2 linked regions of the Coturnix japonica genome follow. The protein of the gene in region 1 purifies or fractionates together with the protein of each later gene. This does not show direct contact. Links are inferred from orthologs where the notes say so. Each region holds a gene or a part of one and is shown on either strand. Other genes may lie near its edges.

The links. Proteins that work in one complex are often made in the same cells at the same time.
Region 2: the proteins of MLXIPL (region 1) and MLX purify together in Homo sapiens (affinity purification with western blotting; 3 studies listed by BioGRID and IntAct, counting the BioPlex papers as one, with this or other methods). This does not show direct contact. The link is inferred for Coturnix japonica from reciprocal best matches to the Homo sapiens genes MLXIPL and MLX.

What each region holds. Positions count from the first base shown.
Region 1 is NC_029534.1:140,770-145,025, forward strand, and holds the start of MLXIPL (carbohydrate-responsive element-binding protein), read right to left. Parts: upstream 2,809-4,256; 5' UTR 2,652-2,808; coding exon 2,356-2,651; intron 1-2,355. UniProt on the Homo sapiens protein: Binds DNA as a heterodimer with MLX/TCFL4 and activates transcription. Binds to the canonical E box sequence 5'-CACGTG-3'. Plays a role in transcriptional activation of glycolytic target genes. Involved in glucose-responsive gene regulation.
Region 2 is NC_029542.1:4,577,950-4,581,977, reverse strand, and holds the start of MLX (max-like protein X), read right to left. Parts: upstream 2,806-4,028; 5' UTR 2,690-2,805; coding exon 2,645-2,689; intron 2,564-2,644; coding exon 2,527-2,563; intron 2,450-2,526; coding exon 2,366-2,449; intron 2,258-2,365; coding exon 2,151-2,257; intron 1,990-2,150; coding exon 1,890-1,989; intron 1,746-1,889; coding exon 1,646-1,745; intron 1,399-1,645; coding exon 1,197-1,398; intron 722-1,196; coding exon 665-721; 3' UTR 1-664. Other genes in the region: bifunctional coenzyme A synthase-like, read right to left, coding at 2,847-3,119, 3,175-3,321, 3,468-3,565, 3,648-3,732, 3,967-4,028. UniProt on the Homo sapiens protein: Transcription regulator. Forms a sequence-specific DNA-binding protein complex with MAD1, MAD4, MNT, WBSCR14 and MLXIP which recognizes the core sequence 5'-CACGTG-3'. The TCFL4-MAD1, TCFL4-MAD4, TCFL4-WBSCR14 complexes are transcriptional repressors.

The DNA.
Region 1 (4,256 bases):
ACCGGGAGAGACGTTCTGTGCCCCCAGGCCAGGAAGGACCCTGTCCCCACCACTGTGGCCTGCAGAGGGTTAAGGCCCCGTCTCTGCACTGGCCATTCCACTATCAGCAGGGATTTTGAACTTTCCCCATGGCACAAAACAAACAGCGTGGCGTTGCCAGGCAGAGGAGCCAATGGAAATGACGGCCTTCCCCAGCACGTGGCCCGCTCCTGCTGGTCAAGGCTACCAGCCACACTCCTCCCTGGTGCTGCCCACGCTGCCCACTGGCTTAAAGGAGCAGCCTGAGCCCACAGCCCTGGCCCCGAACTGCAGCAGGGTGCGTGGCCCTGCATGGGGCTGGTGGGGCTGCAGTGTGACACTGCACCTGGGGCTGGGAGGGAGATGCCTCTGAACTGCGCCGCAACCTGCTTTCTTCCCATTAATGATCCTTTCAGTTTTGGAGCTTATCAGGCTGATCTTTGCACACTGGTTCGCCTTGAAGGAAGCCCCACCCTTTACTGAAATTCTGTCCAGAGGAGATGGATGTGAACTGCACTGAGGACTGGGATGCAGCAGCACTCTGGCACAGGGCAGGTGTCCCGCTGCCCTGCAGGGGTGGGATCACAAACCCCACTGCTGGCTGTGGGACACACAGCTCAGCCTGAACCCATCCTGGCACTGCAGCCAGCAGCCCCCGTCTGCTCCATGATGCCTTCAACGTGCCCAGAAGTTCAAGCGTTGCAGCCCTCACTGTGCAGTAAAATTAGTGTTTTGCTCCATGTCAGCACCAAGAGGAGGGGCAAGGAATGAGCTGGAGAGATGCAGGGCTGTGCGAAGGAAATGGGCTGTAGCAGGGGGAGAAGGCGAAGGGATGGTCCTCCTTGCCAACGTGAGCCCCCCTGGCTTTCCCTCGCAGGAGCAGTGCACAGCAGCAGAGCCCTTCCTTGTTCTGTGGCAGGAGGGGAAGCGCCGGCCCCAAGAGGGCTGAAAAGTGACCATTTCTCAGTCCTGAGCCTCCATAGGAGGCTGAACCTGAGCTCTGATTGGAGTGACTCTCTTTTTAGGGTCCTGGAAAGCTGCAGAATGTGATGTCTGTGAGATGGAGAGGGGCAGCATGGAGGGACAGAAAGGCATCCATGAAAGAGAAGAACCAAGGGGAGAATTTGGGTACAGTCTAATGGCAAAATGTCCCCAGCTGGATTCCATTACCCACAGCTACCCTGAATCCAGGGCCAACCAAGAGCTGCTCCCACGGGTGCTGAACAAGGCAGCTAGGAGACACTGCTGATGTTTCAGGCTCTGGGTGGCCGACAGGGGTGCCATTAACACTTCGTAGCTGTTGTGGATCCTCCTTGCCAAGGGCTGCCATTCAACTTCAGCTACGGTTTGTCACAGTGATGGCCCTGGGGCTGCTGCACAGAAGACACCTGAAGGGAGGGAGCCATATCTGCAGCATAAGGTGTGGGTGTCATACAGCTCCTGTCCACTCTGCCTCCCAGCCACTTGCCCCTCTCCTTTCTGCCCGGCAGCTCTGGAGCTCAGGGGCACATGAACGAATTGCGGGCAGCTCCAGCCCCGTGCAGCAAGTGGGACAAGTGTGGGGCTGGGACTGCAAAGGGAAGTGGGGCTGCCCTGTCCATCAGTGCCACCCATGCATGGCACCAGGGTTACTCAGCTGGTGACACCTTGGCTGTCAGCCTGGTGACGAGGAACGTGACCATGGGCTGTGTCACCCAGTGCTGAAGCCCACCCCATTCCTGCACAGCTCTGGTTGCACCAGCACCTGAGAGTGACCTCACTGTGCTCCATGGCAGAGGGAGGCCAGCAACTGAATGAGACCCAGTACGGGACCAGGAGAAAGGCAGAACTTCCCGCCTGCTTTCCTTGGGTCTGTTCTTACAAACAAGAGGAGATGCTGCCCCAGGATTTCAGGGGAAGTTTTGGGAAAGCTGTGCCAGGTTCTGCTGTGAGGTGCAGAGAATGCAAAGAGCCTTCGGGCCCTGGTGAAAGGGGGGATGCAGTCACGGCCCGGGCACTAATACACAGGAGGCAGGTGCCTGCTGCCACCAATGGCCGAAGGCCGAGTGCTGCAGGCGGTGATGACGGCTCTGCTGGAGGAGAGTGGGAAAGATGCTCCAGGACAGGAAGGAATTCTCAGCTGGCTCCATCAGAGCTGCACCAGCACCAGCTCCTTCCCCATGAACCTCCTAGGATGTTTTGTGAGCAGATATCACACCGCAGCCCAACAGAAGATGGGGATGCCATCCGTCAGTTTGCACATAGCAATTAGCAGCGGGGCAATTAGCAGCACGGCCATACACCCATACAGGTGGGCCTCACAGAGAGCTGGGAGCAGCGCGTTGCCCCTGGACTCACCTGTACTCCAGGCTCATGCACTCGAAGAGCCACGTCAGGGTCGGGTCAATGCTCCGTGGATCGGCCGCTGAGGGCTCTGCACGGCGGTGCCGCCGGTGGGGCGGTGCGTCGTGGTGTGGGGATGACACCATGAAGTGCCCGCTGTGGATCACCTGCGACGGGCTCTGCCGTGCGGTGCCAGGCCCAGCACCACCCACAGCCGCATCCTCAGAGTCAGAGTCAAAGTCAGAGTCAGGTCCTGGCCCGGCCGGGGGCTGCGTGAAGGGGGCAGCCAGCCCCAGCTGGGCCTGTGCCATCGCCCAGCGCTGTCACACCGCTGGAGCCCTCAGACATGTGCCGCAGCACCCGACCCGCAGCACCACGCCGGCATCCAGCCGGCAGCACAGCCTGCACGGAACACGCTGCTCTGCTTTGCTTTGCTCTGCTCCGCTCCGCTCTGCTCTGCTCCGCTCTGCTCTGCTCTGCTCTGCTCTGCTCTGCTTTGCTCTGCTTTGCTTTGCTTTGCTTTGCTTTGCTTTGCTTTGCTTTGCTCTGCTTTGCTTTGCTTTGCTTTGCTCTGCTGTCTCCCCGCACGTCGCCCGCCAGCACCGAGTGCCACGTGGTGCAGCTCAGCCCGGCTGTGCTGGGTGCCCAGGTGAGCCGTACTTATAGCAGCACGGTGATCCCGCCCATGACGCGCCCCAGGCAGCGCTGCAGGCCGCCATTCGTGGGCCTTGGCCGGCTGGCCTTCCCTTCCCTTCCCTTCCTTCACCCCATTGCCCGTCCCACCGCTGGCAGTTGCTCTGTTTACCCGGAGCTAATGGTGTGCAGGGAGAGCAGCGCCGTGTTTACCCAGAGCCTCTGCCCTCGTGTGTCTCCCTGCACTTCCGAGGGAACAAACACAGATTAAGGGATGCAAACAACTCAAATTATAGCAACGGGCGTCCAGCTCTGCACAACGTTCATGGAGTCACTGAGCCGTGCTGCAGAGCTCGGGACAGCCGAGGGGAAAACATGAGCTGAGATGTGGGAGGGGGGGATGGCAGCGCTGGGCAGGGTGGTCGCACACCCGCAGGGATTGGGGACGGGCTGAGTGTGGTGACAGGAGGGGGCTGGTTGTGGGTCTGAACTCAAAGAGAGGAGGTCTGGATGAGCTACCAGGAGGGAAGTCTTTACCCAGAGGGCGGTGATGTGCTGCGCTGCTGCCCAGGGCAGTGGGAGCCCCATCCCTGCAGGTGCTCCAGGCCTTACAGCAGACATCACTGCTGCTGTTCAACCAGAACGTGTGCGCTGTTTTGATTCCTGGCATGAACAGCTGAGCTCTGGTGCCATTCCACACCCAAACTTCTGCCACGTTCTCCTGGATGGACTCCCATCATTGGGTTTATGACCATCACCCCACAGCAGACGGGAGGTCACTGTGGAGTGATGGGTTCACAAGGACACGACACGAGGCTGTTTGAGTTTCCCATCTCCATTGCTTGTCGGATCTCACCCAGCGTTGTTGGCTGTTGGAGCCAGCTCTATTGGTAAGGTTCAGCTCTCCAGAAATATCTTTCACATTCCAAGCCCACGCACTGAAGAAGATGGTACAGCTGTCACCCTGCAGCCATCTTCCAAAGAGGCACTTCTAACACCCTTTTACTTCCAAGCCAGTGAGTTTTCATCTGCACTCACAGTATGTGCAGCCCTGCAGCAACGTGGGTGCCAGGTTTTATCAGTTTAACACAGCATTGCTTGCTCTGCAGTGCTCCAACACTCGATGACGGCATCCTCTTCCCTCCTCTCTGCCCGCAGATAGAAACTATTTGAGGTCAAGGCTGCATCTCACAGCTCCCCAGGCGGCAGGCAGCAATGTGACTTTCCTTTCTGCTCTGTCCCATTCATTTGAGAGCAGTTCCAGCCCTGCTGCTCTGCCAGGG
Region 2 (4,028 bases), on another chromosome or scaffold:
AAGTTCACTCCTTTCCCATTCAGGGGTGTTACTGAAGAGTCAGCACAGCGAGGCCCCAGGGCACTCCTTCAGCACAGAGCTCGCTTGCTGCTCCATGTAATGAGCATTGCCCTGGCAGTGACATGCTAATAAACCTGCCCTCAGTTCTCCCGGGCCTTCTCCAAAGCAGCTACAGAAATTAAAAGCAGACTCTTGCTTTTCTAAGAGCTGCTTCAGAGGGAGGTATTGAAAACCTGCAGCTGCAGAATAACCCTATTCCTGAGCTGCATTAGCACAGCAACAGCTTTTAGCACTCTCCTATTTCTCCCTGCTCCCAGGTTCAATAGGGTTTATATCAGGTGTGAGGTTACAGAGCAGATTCACCTGCTGAGCTGCAGCCCTGAAATCAGTGGCACAGATAAACCCAACTGCAACCACCTGCCTGAGCTAAAGACACTGGCAACTTAAAAGATCTATATTCAATACACACTTATTTCTTTCCCTTCACTAAGTCCTTAGCAGTATTTGGTAACGTTGACTGTGACAGTACCTGTTTGCACAGCTTTGGTTTGGTTTTGTAGTGACAATAAATAATCGAAGAAGCTTTAAGGACCAGCACAAGGGAGATGGTCCAGCCTCTCCTGGCAGCTGTCACCCGGTCGGGAGGTGCTCCAGCGAGGGATGCTCAGTACAGCTGACTCTTCACCTGGTGCAGGACCCCGATGACAATGTCCCGTAGGGTCTGGGGCAGAGAGGAGACACAGTCAGTTGTTCAGGGGAGGAAAAGCCTTTCCCATGCTCAATGCTACAGACAGCACCTGGTGCCACAGATCTCAGCACCTGTATGGGAAACGATCGCCTGTCTGTGTTCTCAGGCTGCAGGGCTCCAGGCAGCCACAGCACAACAAGGACCTGGCCCTGCCCATGCAGCTCATTCTCTTCCCTCCTAACTTCTAAGTGTCTTATGGAACAAAGTGCTGGGGAACAAGCACCCTCTTTGTAAGCTCTGTTTTTCAGTGTCTGAATTTCACTGCCAAGCAGCTGGGAAATGAGAGGAACCCAAGCTCCCATGCCCCAGGTCCAGTGTCAGCCACATTCTGCCTTTCTGAAGGCCCAGGCGAAAGAAAAGCTGCACACAGGCCTACACTCCAGACAGGTGCAGCCATACACAACAGCCTCTGCTCTTATATCAACCCCCCTGTGTCTGCTGTACTCACATGGGGCTTACAGTGCTCCTCAATCCAGCTGAAGACACATGCTGACAGCTCTTGAAAACTCGTGACTGAGATGGAGGCATTAAAGGACTCAAAGAGGGAATCCATAATGCCTTGGAAAACGTTGAATTTCACCTGGTCAGAGACCTGGTCCTTCCCCTCACTCGGGTTGTCCTGGTGAGCTTTTACGATCTGCTCATAGTTCCTGAAACACCAAGTTTGGGGCTCAGTGCTATCGAAGCCTCGTACTGCACAGCAGCTGGGCGACAGCGGGGGCAGAAGCTGCTGCCAGTAACTGGACACTGAAAACAGCTTCAGAACTGGAGGCAATTTGGTACGACCCCAGGTGCCAGACTGCACACAGAGCACTGAGCACATCGGGGGAGCTTTGCAGGGACATGGGGAAAAACAGCAGGAAGAAGGGGGCAGCAACCAAATAACTTCTTACTTACACTTTCATTATCTTCAAGGCCATCACGTCTTTCCTGAGAGTAGAAACTTCCTCTTCTTGCTTCTTCTTTTCCTTGTGCAGGAACTGAATGTAATCAATGGCTGAACACAAAAACACAGAGTAAGCAGCACATGGGGCCCCTCTGACCTCCCTGAGGTCGGTCCCCGAGGCACCATCACACACAATCACCACATTGAGGTGCCTGAGGGTCGGATCGTGCCCTGCTGCCTCCTGCACACACTCACTCTTCTGCAGGATGACGGCCTTGCTCAGCTTCTGGGAGCCGATGGCGAAGTCCTGCTGCTGGCAGGTGGGCACGATGGCCTGCAGGTCGTCGTAGCCTTTCTGCAGGGGCAGAGGGAGCAGAACAGGCACAAACGGCAGCGGTTACACGGACCCACAGCCCAGCTCCCACCACGCGGCCAAAGCGGCTCCAGCCACACGCGGCTCATGGAGCGGATCCAGCACGGGACGAGGGGCTGGAACGCGGCGCGGCGCCCACCGACCTTGATGGCATCGCGCCGCTTCTGCTCCGCCTGCGTGTGCGCCCGGCGCCGCTGGTCCTTGTAGGACTCCTTGTAAAACTCCTGCGGGTAATCGCTGTCCTCGTCGTCTGCGGACACAGCGGCGCTGAGCGCGGGTCGGGACGGGCCCCCCCGGACGCCGCCGTCCCCGGTTGCCCCGCGCCCGCCCCGCTCCAGCCCGGTGCCCCCGTTCGTACCGGTGTTGGGCACGGACGAGGCGCTGGTGGATCCGATGCTGTTGGCGCGGGACACGACGCTGCCCTTCCTGTCCGTACCGAGCGCTGCGGGACAGCGGGAGCCGCTCAGCGGAGCCGCCCCATCCGCCACCCGCCATCGAACCGCCCCCCCCGGCACCTACCGGGCTCCGGGACATTGTCCCCGTACGCGGCGTCCACCTGCGGGCGGAGGGCGGCGGTCACGGGGCGGATGGTGGCGCTCCGGGCCTCGGCCCCACGGTCCGACCGCCGCCCCGTTACCTTCCCCCACGCTTCCTCCGCCGCGGCACCGGGCGGCTCCGCCATCTTCCCCCGCCCCGGTCACGTGGGAGCCGCGGGGGACGCCGGGAAGCGCCGCCCTCCCGACCGCGAGGGGGCGCCACGTGGGGACAACGGGAACAACGGGAACAACGGGACCAACGGGACACAAACAGCACGGACACCGGGAAACTGCGACCGCCCTTTAACCGCCGCTCGGCTGCGGGATCACGGCGCGGAACCGGCAGCGCCCGCCGTGCCGAGCACGGGCCGTACCCGCCCGGTCGGGGCCGCGGCGCTTCCGGTCCGTCCCGGCGCGTTGTGCGGCTCCGTTCGCTCCGTTCGCTCCGTTCGCTCCCGGTCCCGGCTCCTCTCGGTCCCGTTGCGGTTCAGCTGCTCGTTGCGGTGGCCGCGCGGTGGATGCGGCGCTGCAGCAGCTCCCACGCCTTCTCCACCTGACAACGGGCACCGTCAGCAGCTTCGTGCGGGGCTCGGCGCCGTTACACCGGCCCGTTACAGCGGCCCGTTCTCACCTGTTTGTGGGTGACGTCGGGCTCCCACGCGGTGCTCAGCACAACATGCGCCTCCCGCACCCGCTGCCCGTCGCTCATCTGACTCCGCAGCCGGTCACGCGCCGCCTCCTCGCTCAGCCCGTCCCGGCTCACGATGCGTTTCAGCGCCTGCGGGACCAGCACGGGACGGGGGGTCACGGCGATCACGGGGGTCACGGCGATCACGGGGATCACGGCGATCACGGGGGTCACGGGGATCACGGGGGTCACGGGGGGTCACGGGGATCACGGGGCGGCCGAGGGGAGTCACCCACCTCGTCCTCGGGGATGATGGCCGCCCACACCTCGTGCACCATCTCCTGCCATCCGGCCTCCAGCAGCACGGCGGCATCCAGCACCATCACGGCTTTTCCTACGGAACGAGGCCGTTCCTGGTCACCGGGCGGACACAGGCAGCGCCGGCAGCGCCCACTACAATCAGAGCCACCCGGTACCTTGAGCTCCTGCCTCCCTGATCTGCTCCCTGACCATCCGCGCGATCTCCGGCCACACGATGTCTGTGAGGTTCTTCAGCCGCTCCTGGAAAGGAACCGCAGCGGAGTCAGGGTCCTCCCAGAGGTTGGTCCACGAGGGGGCCACAGCTGGAGGAGCAACAGCAGCTGCTGCCTGGATGTGGATCCTGCACAGCCGCTGATTTACTGTGTGCTACTGCACAGGGACGTGGCATCAGCTCAAAGGGCTGGAAATCAAAGCGCCAGCACAGAGTTCTCTGCTCATGAGGTTAAATATTGACATTCCCTGTGCTGCTCGTACCTGGTTTCCAAACACTTTTGCCCCGAGGATCTTCCTGTTGATCGTCCCGTCTTTGTTCAAGA